2 linked regions of the Solanum lycopersicum genome follow. The protein of the gene in region 1 interacts with the protein of each later gene in a pairwise test. Links are inferred from orthologs where the notes say so. Each region holds a gene or a part of one and is shown on either strand. Other genes may lie near its edges.

The links.
Region 2: the proteins of ETR1 (region 1) and green ripe-like 1 interact in binary tests that used the Arabidopsis thaliana proteins (3 or more experiments, as listed by UniProt). The link is inferred for Solanum lycopersicum from reciprocal best matches to the Arabidopsis thaliana genes ETR1 and RTE1.

The regions. Positions count from the first base shown.
Region 1 is NC_090811.1:4,573,411-4,581,434, reverse strand, and holds the start of ETR1 (ethylene receptor 1), read right to left. Parts: upstream 4,460-8,024; 5' UTR 4,372-4,459; coding exon 4,342-4,371; intron 1,580-4,341; exon of another isoform or gene 1,285-1,579; intron 361-1,284; coding exon 1-360. Other genes in the region: glutathione S-transferase U25-like, read left to right, coding at 5,809-6,129, 6,657-6,995. UniProt on the Arabidopsis thaliana protein: Ethylene receptor related to bacterial two-component regulators. Acts as a redundant negative regulator of ethylene signaling.
Region 2 is NC_090807.1:54,634,499-54,642,528, forward strand, and holds green ripe-like 1, read left to right. Parts: upstream 1-2,979; 5' UTR 2,980-3,067; intron 3,068-3,297; exon of another isoform or gene 3,298-4,079; intron 4,080-4,350; exon of another isoform or gene 4,351-5,590; 5' UTR 5,591-5,628; coding exon 5,629-5,937; intron 5,938-6,182; coding exon 6,183-6,605; 3' UTR 6,606-6,735; downstream 6,736-8,030. Other genes in the region: uncharacterized protein, read right to left, coding at 562-573. UniProt on the Arabidopsis thaliana protein: Acts at an early step in the ethylene signaling pathway. Positively regulates ETR1, leading to the negative regulation of ethylene responses.

The DNA.
Region 1 (8,024 bases):
GACACTTAATAAATCAGGAATGATGTGGACAAGCATGAGAGCAGTTATACATGACACCAGTGCAGTCAAGGCCTTTGCAGTAGTCATTACTATTGCCACATTCCTTGTATGCATATTAAATGTCCATAAGTTGATAAGATGGGTTGCTCCACAAAGAACTATGAAAGCACCGAACTGCACAAGAACCCATCTATATGGAAAGACAGCAGACTTCTTAACGAAGTATATCAACTCCACTGGAATGGAGAAATAAGCAAGTGCTATGAAAAAATCAGAAATGTACTGATACTTCATTAGCAAGTCGTCAGCAGGCAACTGTGGGTCAATGATGCAGTTACATGACTCCACGATGGAAGATAACTGCAGCACAAGTTAGCAAATAAGGAGAAGGAAATATGCCTCAGAAGAATAACAAGCTGTACAAGAGTTAAACAACCTGAATATATTTAATTGCAGCATAAGTTCTGACATATGTTTGTGAAAATAGAATTATACTCAAGAACAACAAGGTGTAGAAGAAGCCAATATTGAAATTAACAGCTAACTTATAGTGTAAAAAATAGTTCCCTTGCACCAAAAGATCAGCAAATTGTGAATTTCATCTTTATGTTATGCACTTTATGTATGTCACAACTTTGCTGATTTAATATGTTAAAACCTCTAACGAACTAAAACCATAACATGTAGGATGAAATCGTAGGTCTAAATGTTTCTGATGTCTTTGCCCCAACTCCTTTTATACACTTGTACGTTTCTTTGTTCCTTTCTATTTTCTTTTTATTAAACTCCTCTAGTCAAGAATACATAAAAGATAAGACACTCCTTCAGCAATCTTGTCGAAAATTATAAGAATGTTTTCGAACATGATATAGTTCTTATAGAAAATTCCAAATGCTTCCCACAAATATAAGAAACTAGGTCTTCAATATATCTAGGAAAAAAGTAGCGCCAAATAGTCTGTGTAATTCGTTTCACATTTAAGGGAATAAAGATAGATATAATAGTTCGACAATTAGTTGTGGAGGTGGAAAGAACAATTATTTCTTACAGGCATTGTAATGGGAGGCCAAGCATGGATTAATTGGATACCTTTTGGTAGTACCAGATCTATGGTGCCACTTGCATCTAAGTATATACATCTTAATTTTGGACAGAAAATGCATCCCTTTGTCCCAATTAATGTGACACTCTTTCCTTTAAAATAAGCCCCAAAAAGAGACATATTTCTATATTTAGTAACAATTAAACTTTAAATTTCACATTTTACCCTTAACAATGGCTTACTTTGAACAACAAGTCTCAAAAGTCTTCCTTTCATTCTTAAACGTCGAGCACAGTCAAACACCTTCACATAGATTAGAACAGAGGAGTGGTAAAGTTCCTCTTTTCTTCCTCTCCCAGTTTCTCTCCTTTCACCTTCCTGCAGGAGTGGAGGGATTGTTGACATTATAGACATCCTTGTTTCCTCGATTCATTCTGGCATGAAATCAATCATTGGGTAAACAAAACTCAGTTGATGGAGTTGCCTCTTAATCCCTTTCTCTTGTATCATCTCCCTTTTGAATTATTGTACTGAGAGCTTTACACAATTTTACCAATTAAATGAACTTTTCCTTTTCTCTCTATAGATTGCAAGTTTAGTTTATTGCAATTAATATTAGAGCTGCTTTCTGAGCCCATTATTGATCATAGCAGAGAGAATATGATCACAGTAGCCTGTCTAGTATACAAGGATAGTGCTGCTAGTCCAAAATGATCAAAATCGAAGCGTGAACGATGGTTTTCAATGTAGGTATCCAGTTACAGATGCAATTTTATAGGCTTTCACTCAAGTGTTTCTCTAAAGTAGCAGTCATGGTGAATCTTGTTGTATTTAACCATCAGGGACTCCCAAGAACATATATTTTCTATGAATTAAATAGAAAACGAACAGCTTGTTATACAAAAAAAAATTATAATTATCATTTTTATCATCTATTTCTCTTCTTACCGGTATCTATGGCTTGATCACAAGTAAAAATATGGTTAGAGACCGATCTATATTATACTGAAAGCATGAACTCAAAAACTTAAAAGTTATTACCTAAATATCCCTAACCTAAATAACCTACTTCAAAAGACACCTATAACCTACTTCAAAAGACACCTAATGCAGCCAACGGAAGAAAAGAAACCGCTTTGACAATAATTTCTCCCAATGAATAGTTGCCACCTTACATTATCCTAAACATGGTATTATTAACAATGCCAATTTCACCTTCATTTTCAGGAGATTTCTCACAAAAAACGATGGAAGCCCCACACTAAGTCCTTCAAGAAGAAGCAAAAATTTAAACTGTTAAGTCTAGCTAATGTTTTCCTACTTCTAATGATTTATTTTAAAAACTTGAACTGAGTACTTGATTTTTATGGCATCTACGGAGGATAAGTAAAAGAATCATATTTACATCTATTTTGTAGTTCTTCATCTGTTCAATAGTCATCTATAATCTGATTTTCATTATCTATAATTTGATTTTCACATGTGGTGAACGACAAACAACAAGAATTTTTGTCTTATGCATCAACCAATGGCTAAATACACTAGAACGTATGAATCGTGTTCACAAAATAAATTATGAGGTCTCTTCATCAAAAATAAATTATGAGGTCTTGACCATCTACGCTAACATTTATTATTATTGGATGTCATAAAATATATACATATATAGACAATAAAGAAAGAAAATATTTAGGGACGGATTTGGTCACTTTTTTCTTCTTGATATCTTGGTTTGATGTGTTCCTTCTTCTAAACATCTACTGTTACTAGAGCTGCCTATGGTTAATGAGGAGCATATTTACTAGAGCATATCATTCACGTGTCTTTGTCCATTTTGTATTAATAATGACGAAGCCCATGACCTCTTTAAAAAGGAAAAAAAAGGCAAAATGTACACGTTACCGAACGTATGACATGCACATGCTTGGTCTTAATGTTCATTATTTTGTGGGACAAAACAAATACAAATTCTGAAAATAGGTTATGTGGTTAGAACTGTGAAATAAATTTGAGCAATATAATGATGCTATAGAAACCAACATTACAATAGAAAAGAACATATGATGTAAGAAAGCATGAATCTACTTAGATCCTCCAAATTTCAATGACGTCATATTCACTTTCAGTGACAAAGCATTTCAGAATAATTTGTTTCCCCAGAGTGATAGTCATACAATCATTATTCAGCACTTCAAAGATATTATTCATCATCCAAATATTATGCTCATTTTATTAGTATGTAACATCCTCGATATTATTCGTTTAAATGTTCACTTCCCCATTTTTTGATGGTTTGAATTTGTTTGAGTTATATTTTACTAGTATTAGATTCTCTTAACTTGGGAAAACTGTGGCACATGCGGTTAGTGCAAAGTTTTCACCGCATGTGACATATTTTTCTTGTGCATACTTAACACATGAAATTATTTCTCAATTTGAACTCTTCCCCATTAACAACTTTTGGTTTGTTTTTATCACTCTCACATGCCTTTAATCTTCATTTATTTCTTCTTTCATACCACCTTGAGATATGTTTAGCGAATGTGTTTACTATAGGCTTCTTCCATGAATTATTCCTCAGATAGTGAACCACTAGAGATGACGGATACACATCTTATCCCAAATCTCATTTGTGGTAAGGTAGGGATAACTGATAAGGTCTGCTTACACTCTTACTTCCCTAGATCCCATTTTGTCGGATTACACTTGGCATGTAGTTGTAGACTAACTAATCTGAGCTAGTTAAACACCGAAATCAGTCTTACGGGGATAAATAAAAAGAACATGCGCAAATGAGTTGAACTTTACATTCATCCCACAAACTCAACCCATAAGAACATATTCCAAAAAAAGAATGATCATAATCATGAAGACATCATCACAACAAAAGCAAATAAACTCTAAAAATCATTAATTGGTTGCAATTTCAGTTCATTTATACATTAATCATTCCAAACCCCACTATCCAAAAACTAATAACCTTGCTCCATGAAAAACCAAACCTCAGTTACTGCCTGGAAACTTCAATTTATTCAGTTTAGTTTATTGTAAATTAATCAATTTCAGCTAGTTAATCACCAAAAATCAATCGTTATTATAAACAAAACAATCTACAAAAATGAGCTGAAATTCAACATTCAAAACGATTCATCACGAACTTTAAATACATTATCACAAGTGAAGCTAATTAACAACAAGTAAACCTAAAAAAACACTTCAATAAGACTATTTTTCAGCAATTAAAAGTCAAAATTAGCAAAAAAAACTAAAAAAAACTAGTTAGGGTTTATGAGACTTACAAGGCGATTCATCCGGAGAAGAGATCCCATCGTGGCCAAAAAAAAAAAAAATTGGGGCGAAAAAAAGTGATGAAGATTGATGATGATCAAAAGGGAAAGTGAAACAATGGAGTTGGCTAGAAAAGGAAATGACCCAATTTGTAATTTCACGGGTCAAACAGTTGGGTTTTTTTTTTGTCAAGTTGACTGAATTGGACTCCAATGGCAGACATAATTGAATTATTTTTCATGTCTAATTTAATATATCATTAAAAATTTAATAACTTTTTTTCACATGGAAATGTTTTATTTTTTAAAAAGGAAAAAGAGGTTACCTTGTAGATGTGGTATCGACAATACTAGTTATATTAAATTATTTATAAGTTTAACAAAACTTATTTTTTGATTGACTTCGATTAATATTTTACGAATTTATTTAATTACACGTGATAATAGAGGTAGATAATGTCTGATCTTATTGATAGTGACAATGGTACATAATTATAATGATAAAGATGGTAGATATAATAACGATTGATAATAATAATTAACAATCTATGATATTGATTCAAAAAAAAGTACGAAGTGATGTATTATCTATGTAGCTTTCAACATTTATATATAACAATAAAGTATAAGTTATATATGACTTAGGAGATCTAATCATATTAAAACTAAATCATCCCTTGTCCATAGAATTGTTAGTTAATATAGGATTCGAACTCTTTAAAAGAGTCGCAGGAGTAGTTTCAATATTGTTTTACATAATGATCGTAATGATGAAAATAGTTATTGATGATGATAACAAATAGTTACCAATGATAATAATAATTGTAATGATAAAAAGTGATTAGTGGTGATATGATATAATAAATATGAATATAACGATAGCTTAAAAATAAATCCATATTACATTAATAGTTTCTTCAACATCTTTAACAAGTAAGATTACACTCAAATCAAACAAGTTCTCAGCTATCAATTTAAATAAATACACCATTATATATAAAGATTCAAATCTTGGTTAAGCCACAAACCAATAATCCTCTAATTAACTAGTCTTTAACACAAAAGGAAAAAAAGACTCAATTAGTAAAAAATTCAAATATTTACATAATTGTTCATTTCTTGTCTCAATCAAATGATAAATATCTCCTTAATGACTCTAACACATCATAAAAAAAATCACACAAAAAAAAAGCTCAATTAGTAAAAACTTCAAATATTTACATAATTATCCCTTTCTTGTCTCAATCAAATGATAATTATCTCCTTAATGACTATACCACACCATAAAAAGAATCATACAGAAAAAGACTCGATTAATAAAAAATTCAAATATTTACATAATTATCCCTTTCTTGTTAATTATCTCCTTAATGACTCTACCACACCATAAAAAGAATCACAAAAACCCTCAACACTCTTAATTACCTCTTCTTCTTACAAGTCTACTAATATCCCTAACTTTTCAACAAAAAAAAAAACATGACACAAGAAGAAGAAGTTGTACTTTTAGATTATTGGGCTAGTCCTTTTGGAACAATGGCAAGAATTGCCCTAGTTGAAAAGGGAGTCAATTTCATCCACAAGTTTGAGGATTTGTCTAATAAAAGTCCTTTGCTTTTGGAAATGAACCCGGTTCATCACAAAATACCGGTTCTTGTTCACAAGGGTAAATCTATTTGTGAATCAAATATCATTATTCAATATATTGATGAGATTTGGAAAAATAATTCTCCCTTATTGCCCTATGAACCTTATCAAAGAGCTAAAGCTAGGTTCTTGGTTGACTTTATCAATAAAAAGGTAAAGGACTTTTTAACTCTTCCTTAATTCATTTCATATATGTTTGTGTGATTTCATTACCTTGTATAGATTCAGGGTTGTTTTATTGGTGGTTAGAGTTACATATGTATTAGTATCTAAGAATCAGTTATACGTAGTTATGCAGAATTTAATCATTCAATGCATATATATTATTTCATTCATTTAAAAAGGAATGAACTTAGTTTCTTTTTAGTTTGTTTCAAAAAGAATGATTATAACCTTTTTTTGATAATATTTTAACTTTTCACATACATGTTTAAGACCATAAGATTAAAGAATATTTTGATATATTTGACTTAAATTAAAGTTAGAATCACGAGATTAAAAATTATCTTTTTTTTTCTTAAATTCTGTTTCAAATAAAATTAGGTCATTCTTTTTTTAAACAGAGAAGATATAATATAAATTAATACTTTTTTTTTGTTTTAATTTGTTTATTTTTTTGACTTGATATAAAGTTTAAGAAAAATTAAAAGGAATAACCCTACAAAGAGCATTAATTTTAGGTACATGGGTCAAGTGTAAAGGTATGGATGGGGCAAATTGAAGAGCAAGAAAATGGCAAGAAAGAACTTGTAGAATGTTCAAAGTTTTTGGAAGAAGAACTTGGAGATAAACTTTATTTTGGAGGAGATGTATTTGGATTTGTAGACATTGCACTTGTTCCTTTCTACAATTGGTTCATTGTCTTCAAGACCTTTGCAAATTTCAACACAATTGAAATACAATGCCCCAAGTTAGTGATGTGGGGAGAAAGGTGTTTGAATAGAGACTCAGTATCCAAGTCACTTCCTACTTCAAATCAAGTCTACCAAGCTTATTTGGATTTCAAGAAAGGTTGGTGATCACATGGTTAATAAATATCGAGATGGATTCAGAATTTTATATTTTAATGATTGGATATCATATCACTTATTTTGAGATGGGATCATATAATGAGTTGTGAGAGGGTCTAATAATTTAACGTCTACCTTATTAGTCGATACATTTGCATATTGAAGTAACGTAAATGATAAATATGAATATTAATTGATAAAAAGTGTATTTATATGAAAGAACATGAGTTCACTATCTATGTATTCATCTTCCTTGTAATAATACTAGTCGATACGATTAAATGTTGAAATCACGTAAATGATAAAGTATTAAGAGTAGTGTATCTATACGAAGGAACATGAGTTCACCTATGTACTCATATTCCTAGCAATAATTCTATAATGTATCGATAGTGCTATATATATAAAGTATTTTTAAAACTACTTAATATATATGTGACCATACTCAAGAAGTTTTATGATGTAATGATTATAGTGTAAATTGTACGGGTTAAGAAATTTAAATTCTACGTTTATATATATATATATATATATTTTATTTTTTTTAATTATTATTATTTAATATTAAAATTTGATTGAATTTAAATTTATATTAAAAAATCTTACATAATTGTAGAGTAAACTGTTTTTTAAATGAAAATGACTCTCCATCTGAGAGACTAATTTAGACTTATTTAATACTAATTCAAATTGTCTTATTATTCAGGATTTTGATGACACAACACATATATATTAATATAATATAACTATAAGGATAATGACAATCCAATTTTTATTTTTATTCTCCAGATTTTAAAAAGAGAAGGTCCAGAAAGATGTGGGGCATTCTTGATAATACAAATAAATTAAATTAAAAAGCCTCACCAACCTATGACTAATCATATTTTCTATTTATAGTAAAGTGATTCATTTCTTTAAGATAACAATGATCAATTAAATTTGTTTTTAAAATTTACATGTGTAAAATTAAATTTTAAAAATTTCTAGATTATAAGAGAAGTTCCTAGAAATATGTAGTCATTCTTGATAGTACAATCA
Region 2 (8,030 bases), on another chromosome or scaffold:
TAAGGCATCTACAATCAATTACCAAACATTAATAAGCAAAAATCACCTTACCATAAAATCTTCTAGGATTCGTACAGGCAACAAAATCATCTTAGTACCACTAAATCGATATCAATCAAGCAAGTAAGAGGGAGGAGAAACAGTGAGATAACAGTATTACATGAAAAATATGTATTAATCCGTCATATAAGCAATCTATAGTTATTTACACCAACGATAAATGTCAACAGAGCAACATTAGTAAGTCAAATGATATAATAATCAATAACTCCAAGATTAATTTAAAAAGTAAGAAAGCCAAAAAGAAATACTCGGTTTGGAGCCAATTAATATCTCCACCGAATCAGACTCAAGAAGGGAAGAGAGTAAGAGAAATTTCTAATATCTCATGAACAGATTAAGAACAAGAAACTACTAATTCATAGTATAATCAAGTATGCAAGAATTTGAAAGCTACCAGTAAACCCACATAGAAGCAAACATGAAAAAATAAATCCTAAGTTCTAGTGGTCAAATTAACAAATTTATTAAAGGATGAAACAAGTTTAAACAAGAACTAACCTTCACGAACATGAGACCTTTGAACAACGCCAAATCTCGTTGTTTCTGGTTGCTGTTCACGCTGGCCGGAGCTGCTGCTTGCTCCCACCGATGATCGCAACTGCTGGATTTTCGCCCGTGACTGCTTGCTGCTCTCCTCGCTAGGTTGCTGGTTTCGCTGGAGGCTTCACCAATGGTCGCTTCTCGCCGGGAGGAGATGGAAGAAGCGGATGAGAGGAGGAAGAGAGGGGGCGCTGGGGCTGCTGGTCGGAGAAAGGCGAGAAGAGAGGGGAAGCGGCTGTGTTTGGAGCTGTTGTCGCTGCTGCTGGTGGCGCTGGAGTCGGAGTTGTTGGCTGGCGTCGGAGTTGTTGGCTGGCGTCTTCTCCGCCGATGGGGCTGCTGGTCTTGGCCTGCTACTCCTGTCTGCGGCTCTCCAAGCGTTGCTGCTACGCGCACTGCTGGTGCCTGGTTCTGCTGTTTTCGCCAGCAAAATGGAGAGAACGAAAGGGAGAAGGGAAGGAGGAGGTTGGGCGACGGGAGAAAGGAGACAGAGAAGAAGGAGGGAGAAGAGGAGGAAGAACAAAGGGGAGATGCAATAGCTGCCAGCGGCTGCTGGCTTCAACGACGATGGAGGATCTCGCCGGCAAGAATGGGGGAAAAGAGAGAAGCGGCTGCCAAGGAGGGGGGGAAGAGAAGGAGAGAAAAATGTTTTAGGGTTTTTTTTGGGGGTCTTTTGGTGTTGTGAAAAATAAAGATTTAATCACAACCATGAGATTAATAAGAGATGAAGGATTAGGATTCGATCTAGGATTTATTTTTTAAGATGGACGGATAAGATCAAAAGATGAAGTTTTGAAATTAGATTGGCAAAGATATAGAATGGCTAAAATTGCAATTAAAGTGGCTAGAATTGAAATGAAAGAGTGACTATGATTGTAATAAAAAACTTAATTGGAATTGGCTAGAATTGGAAGAAATTAGAATAGAATAGGCTAGAATTTAAATAATATTTATTAAAATACTACATACATTAAAATATTTTTTTTGTATAATTGAAAATCATCTAAATTTTAAAACATTTGAAATACTATTTACAATAATTTTATAAAGTAAATGATACTAAAATATATAATTTTTGAGAAAAATCAACTAAAACTTTCAAACTTTAAGTAAATTTTAAAATACGTATTTAGTCGAATATAATCCTAAAAATGGTTAAAGGTCGGTCAAAATTGGGTGTCAACAGACACACAAGTAAAAATTGTCATAACTTGCATAGTGCTACATAATTATTTGCAAGAATACCAAAGTAGCAATGAAATATTTATGGTCTATGAGTACGAAAATATAGTTGCGAATGATATTGACCAATAAATGACTCAACTAACAATGTTGATTCGTCTTCTCGGTCATATGATCAAGAAATGCAAGTTCAACATGAGGAGATTGTTCATACTATATAGGGGAATATATATTTAAAACTAATACACTACAATTCATGTTCAATTTTTTTAATTGAATTAAAGTCTGATCAATGAAAGTTAGATGAAACAATTATTTAAGTGGAGAACAAATAACTTTATAGTAATTTATTATGCAATTTTATAAAAAAAATTATTTTGTAAGAATGAATAAACAATTGGGACTATTTTAATAGTGTTACATCTTATGAAATTCTTATGTTTATGAGAAAATATACAACAGAAAAATTTCATATTGTATATCCATACAAAACTTTAATTTCATTTCATGATTTCATATCACATAACTAAACAAGCCCTAAATATTATTTTTTTTCTAAATTTAAGCACTAATGGTGAGTACAATTTTATCCTATCATAGTTATAAACTCAAAAAGTATTTCACGTGAAAAACTTTTTGCTCTAAAAAAGTCAAAAATAACATCTTACTTTTGTAGGATTTTGTAAAACTTATTTCACTAAATTTAAAATAGATTTATAATCACGCTAGTAACATCTAAAGAATTGTCTCCAAAAGTTTTGAGCGATTCTTTTAATTGTCTTGTGACCGAACTGGTGCTGGTCAAACGAATAGTTGTATTTATGTTATTAAAAAAATTGGCATTTTCAAAATAGGTATAAAAACATGGTCTTTTTAAAATATTGGTCTAAATACATAGAATGTCAAAGTAGATAGGCTAGGATAATAAATAATTCATCTAAATGGAGCTTTTAATTTTGTTTATATAACAACTCAAAATAAAACAGATAAAGTGGGAACCACATGAGGCTTTTCTTTGTAATGTCTAGGGTGGGCCCCAGTTCATGCATCTAACCCAAATTCTATCTTTCCCTCATTTTCAAAATAAAATAAAATTAGTCGATAAATAATAACCAATAATAATAATAATGTTTGAATAGTATAATGGAAAATGTGAAAAAGTAAATATTTTTATATGTATGTTCGACACTTACCCCCATTGCTTTCTTGTGTGCTTCATCAATCAAAGAAAAGGGCTAAGCAAAAACTGTTTTCATCACTTTGATTTCTTTGCTTCATTTTGAAGGTACCATTTTCTTCTTGTTCATTAATTCTTGAAATTTAGTTATTTTAGAATCCATGAAGATTTCATTTTTTGAGTAAGTAAGACAAAGGGGTTTTAAGGTTTTGATTGTTAATTGCCATATATAGACTTGTGAGCTCTTTAGATTTTTTTCATTAATGTAGTTGATGTCACTAGATTCTTTGAAGTTAGAAGCAATAGAAAAACTTTTTTTTTGGTTTTGGTTTTTTCAGATTATCCTTGAGCTAGATAGGGTTCTGTGCAACTTGTTTAACAATGTTGTTGGTGATTTGAAATTCAAAAGCAGTTTTGATTTCATCTTGGAGAATGTATGTGTTGTCTTGGTTGATAGAGGAAATTCCAAAAGCAGTTTTGATTTCATCTTGGAGAATGTATGTGTTGTCTTGATTGATAGAGGAAGATGGCAAACAAGTAAAGCTTTTCAATTCTTTTAACTCAATTGATGATCAACTTTAAATGAATTCGGTAAAAAAACAAAATTGTAATTTAGTAAGATATGTGTAGTTTGATTGTAGTGTTATTTAGTTGTAATATTGCCCTCTTACTATCTGTTGTTTGTTACTACCTATTGTCTTTTGTACTTTTATTGTGTCTATTTCTAGTTTGTTTATGTCTTGAGCGAGGGTCTACTGGAAACAACATCTTGGCTGAGGTAGATTAAGGTATGGTACACTCTACTCTCCCCCGAACTTCAATCTGTGGGAACACTTGGTATGTTGTTGTTATTTAGTAAGATAGACTGCAAATGAGTGAGTTTTTGGGAGGAAATGCAATGCAAGTCTTAACCACTATGAAGTTAATGATTCCCTTATCACTTGTTGCTTGAATTGATGGGTGCCGTAATACATTTTATCAGGTCCTGGTATAGCAACTTGTCAAGGTGTCCACAAAAAGCTTTAAGGAAGTTACATTAGTGTAGAATCCGTTGAAGATAATGCAGAACATCTTTTTAAAAAAAAAAAAGAAGTTGGGGATAGAGGAAGGAGATAACAAGGTGGAGAATTGAACCCTCACTATCCAACTTACTGAGCTACTAAGATTATCCCAAAGAAGAACATCTTATTAATTCCACTTACAAAAAAATGTTGTGATGAAGTAATAATCTTGTTAATGTGGGTAAACTTCCGTGTAGAAGTAATACACCAAAAAGTAGAGAAACCAACAAACTGTCAGAGAGATTAACCAAAAACAGGAGGTTATTCTTCAAATATATAAACTTATCATGAACTCTTCCATGCTCTCCTTCCAAAGGATCCATATAAGGGCTACATAGGCTATCTCTCGTGTCCTATGTATTCTTGCTTTCTTCTAAGGTCATCTGTCTAACAGGTCCTTTACTGTGCCCAACATTATCCACTGTACGTGCTCAGGACCAGCTTCCATTCACCACAATTGGGTAACACATGAAAATGCAGCAGTAGGTTGTCCAGATATTTACGGATCTATACATAAAGCACCATCCCGTACATTAGTATTATTCCTGTTTTTTGTGTTTTTAGATTTATTTGTTACTACCGCTTGTTTCTATAGCCTTGATCATTGTATCATCTTATTGTTTTTTTAGTTTGTTCCTGCTTCTTTCTTTTGCATCTTTCTTTGAGCCGAGAGTCTATATGAAACAGCCTCTCTACCTTCAAGTAATTTGTAACTATATAGGCACTTTCTGGATGCTGTGTTAGTAATACAACTACATTTTGACTATCAGTGAAGAAATAATAATGTGAAATCATCCAGTCTGATCGAAACACAAAGCATAAGTTTTAGCTTCTTTCGTTGTAATTGACTGTATGGATATCCCTAGCAGTTTTTTGTAACTTTTGGTTTTGGTACCTTCTTGGTACTTAAGTCACTAAACCTTAACCTCATCAAAAGAAAAAAAAAAAAAAGAGATAGCATCTTTACCATCCAGAAAACAAAACCTATAAGTGCAGGTTTAGAATCACCATTCCATTGAAGTTGTGAAACAATTCACAGTTCCAGAAAATCTTAGTTATTGACAAGAATCACCAAAATACAACATATGAGAGCAAAGAAATACTATGGAAGAAACACAACTGACATAAAACTTATGTCGTAGTAGAGATGTAGATCATAATGAAGATATATTCATTGTTAACAGTCCATGTTAAGTTGGGGCATTCAAATTATGCATTCAAAACAATAGAAAGAGAGTTAAATATTTTAAGCTGTGATAGAAGTTTTCCTGAACTGTATGCTTGCATAAATGGGATCAGTTACCACCTTTTTATATGGATATCCAAGAGAATTTCTGCATTTCTGGAATTGTTGAATTTTAGTTGCATCCAATGAAATGTCTTATTAATTTTGTAATGGCTAAAATCATTTTTCAAGCTTTTTTAACAATCAGTAGTCATGGATGTTTATGCAATTATGCTACATCGGCGGATCAAATAGTGCAGTTGTATAAAGCATAGTGCAATTGGCACCTAATGTTTTTATAGCTGCTTTCACTGATAGTTTGTTTTACTCCTTTTCTTTTCACAGAAACCTTTTTTCATGACTGCAAAATTTCATGTCGCCATATGCCATCAGGAAGACGTTCTTTAATGGATTTGGAACCTGCCTACAAGATGGAGAGCATAAGAGCAGTCCAAGATATTCAGCATGAATTTTGGCCTCTTGATGAAATAAATGGAGAGAATGCTAAGTTCCCCTGTTGTTTAGTTTGGACTCCTCTACCAGTAGTCTCATGGTTGGCACCTTTCATTGGACATGTAGGAATATGCAGAGAGGACGGTTCTGCCGTGGCCTTTTCTGGTTCCAACTTTATTAACATTGATGATTTTGCATTAGGTTCTGTGGCCAAATACCTTCAACTAGACAGAAAACAGGTACAATTTACTGTAGCATGCTCTTAGCCTTTCAATTGTTTGTTGTAGCATTATGTCACTCACTAACCTCTCCCCCCATCTTCCTTAACGCATCGCCCCTACTATTTATATTCACATATAACTTCCAGCAATTCCACCTGAAACACTATGCTTAGTTAGTAGTTACCCCACATAAAGAAATAGGGCAATTTGATCTTACCAACAAAGTATTGACAAGAATTTCTGAATGGTGAATTATTGGACAGTGCTGCTTTCCACGAAACCTTGCTGCACACACATGTAAGCATGGCTATAAACACACAGAGTTTGGGTCTGCAATTACTTGGGATGATGCCATCCAATCAAGCGTTCGTCATTTTGAGCACAAATCGTACAATATATTCACTTGCAACAGCTATTCTTTTGTTGCTAATTGCCTGAACAGGCTCTGCTATGGAGGATCAATGGATTGGAACATGATCAATGTTGGTGCTCTTTTATTGTTCAAAGGACATTGGGTTGACAACATGTCAATCTTGAGATCATTTTCACCTTTTATGCTAGTTGTATGCTTTGGCATTTTCATGGTGGGATGGCCTTTTATGGTAGCATTATTGGCTTTCTCACTTCTTCTTTTAGCATGGTTTATTTTTGGTACTTACTGTCTCAAAAATCTGTTGGATTCCTAGGTTTCTTGTATCACACTGCTACAAGATTAAAATTTGTTAATCCTTAATATGTGAAGAACCCCATAGACTTTGATAACTCTGCACTCTAAAGTCACAAGTGTAGTGGAATTTGGACAATATCAAGTTACCTAATAGATATTCACTTTGATTCAATTTATGACACATTTTTCTTTTTAATCCATTGGAAAAAAGAATGAGTGACAGTTTACCTTAGTTTTGGAACATTATAAAAAAAAAATTATATTTTTAAACTGCGTGTCTAGTCAAAAATCACATTGAAACAACACGACTAGTTATAAATTGTCGTCACTGATACTTGGAATTTGGGGCGTCCATCAGTTAATTCGACTTAATGTATTATTAGTCTAGCTTTCAATTTTTAAATGCACTAAATTAGTAAGATATTATTTTATTGATTTTTGATCTTTAATAGTTTAGTTTTTGATTCGACAAATAAAAAATATTCATAAAATAGTTATATAAAGCAAATCGGTGGCTTGGAGGCTGGAGTTTGAATTTTAGCGCATTAAAATAAAGGCTTTTAAGCTTAGAATTTGTATCTATCGAACAGTTTTTTTATTTAAAAATTATTTTTTATTGCAGATATGGGCAAAAAATGTGTTCCACTCACCTTGAGCGTATATAGCAGTTAAAAATCATATTTTTCTTATATACTTGATAAGTTTTAAAATAAAATAATAAAAATAAAATGGAAAAGCCTTCTTCTTCTTCACTGCAGCTCTCTTTCTCTAATCCTTCAATTCTTCTTTTGCTTTAACCTTCATTTTTAATTATTTTTTCAGCAATTGCTTTGAAATGGCCGCAGAAAAACATAAATTAAAAAAATAAAAGTCAAATTTGAGTTAAAAATAAATTTGGCGAAACTTTATTTTTTTTGACAAGACTAATATGAATCTGAAATTATTTTCTTTGAAACCGCTAAAAGATTCAAATTCTAAAGAACTTACAACAGTGAAGAAGCGAAAAAATCAACAAATATTGATTGTTATTCAAAAAAAAATGAGATTGGAAAAAATGGCAACTATAATATTGAATTAGAATAAAGGATAGAACTTATTGGAGTATGCGATTTTAGCCGGAGGCCACTACGTGTTTTCCGGCGACAAACAAAATGAGGTAGAATGGAAGCCGGGGTGGGCATTTTGGCAAAGAAGAAAAGGCAGAAGAATTTTTATTTTTTTTTGGGGCCAAAAATAACATTTTATTTTTAATATATATTTTAATCAAGGCAACTTTCAGATAGGTATAGCAAATAAAATATTCATATTTGTATGTTATAGCAAAGTTTACAAAATTACGCTCCATAGCAAACATAGAAACTGCATAATTCGCTGTACATAAACAGTTGAAGCAAATTATATAAAACGAAGTGTATAAAACAAGAAAGAGAAAGACACTTGGATA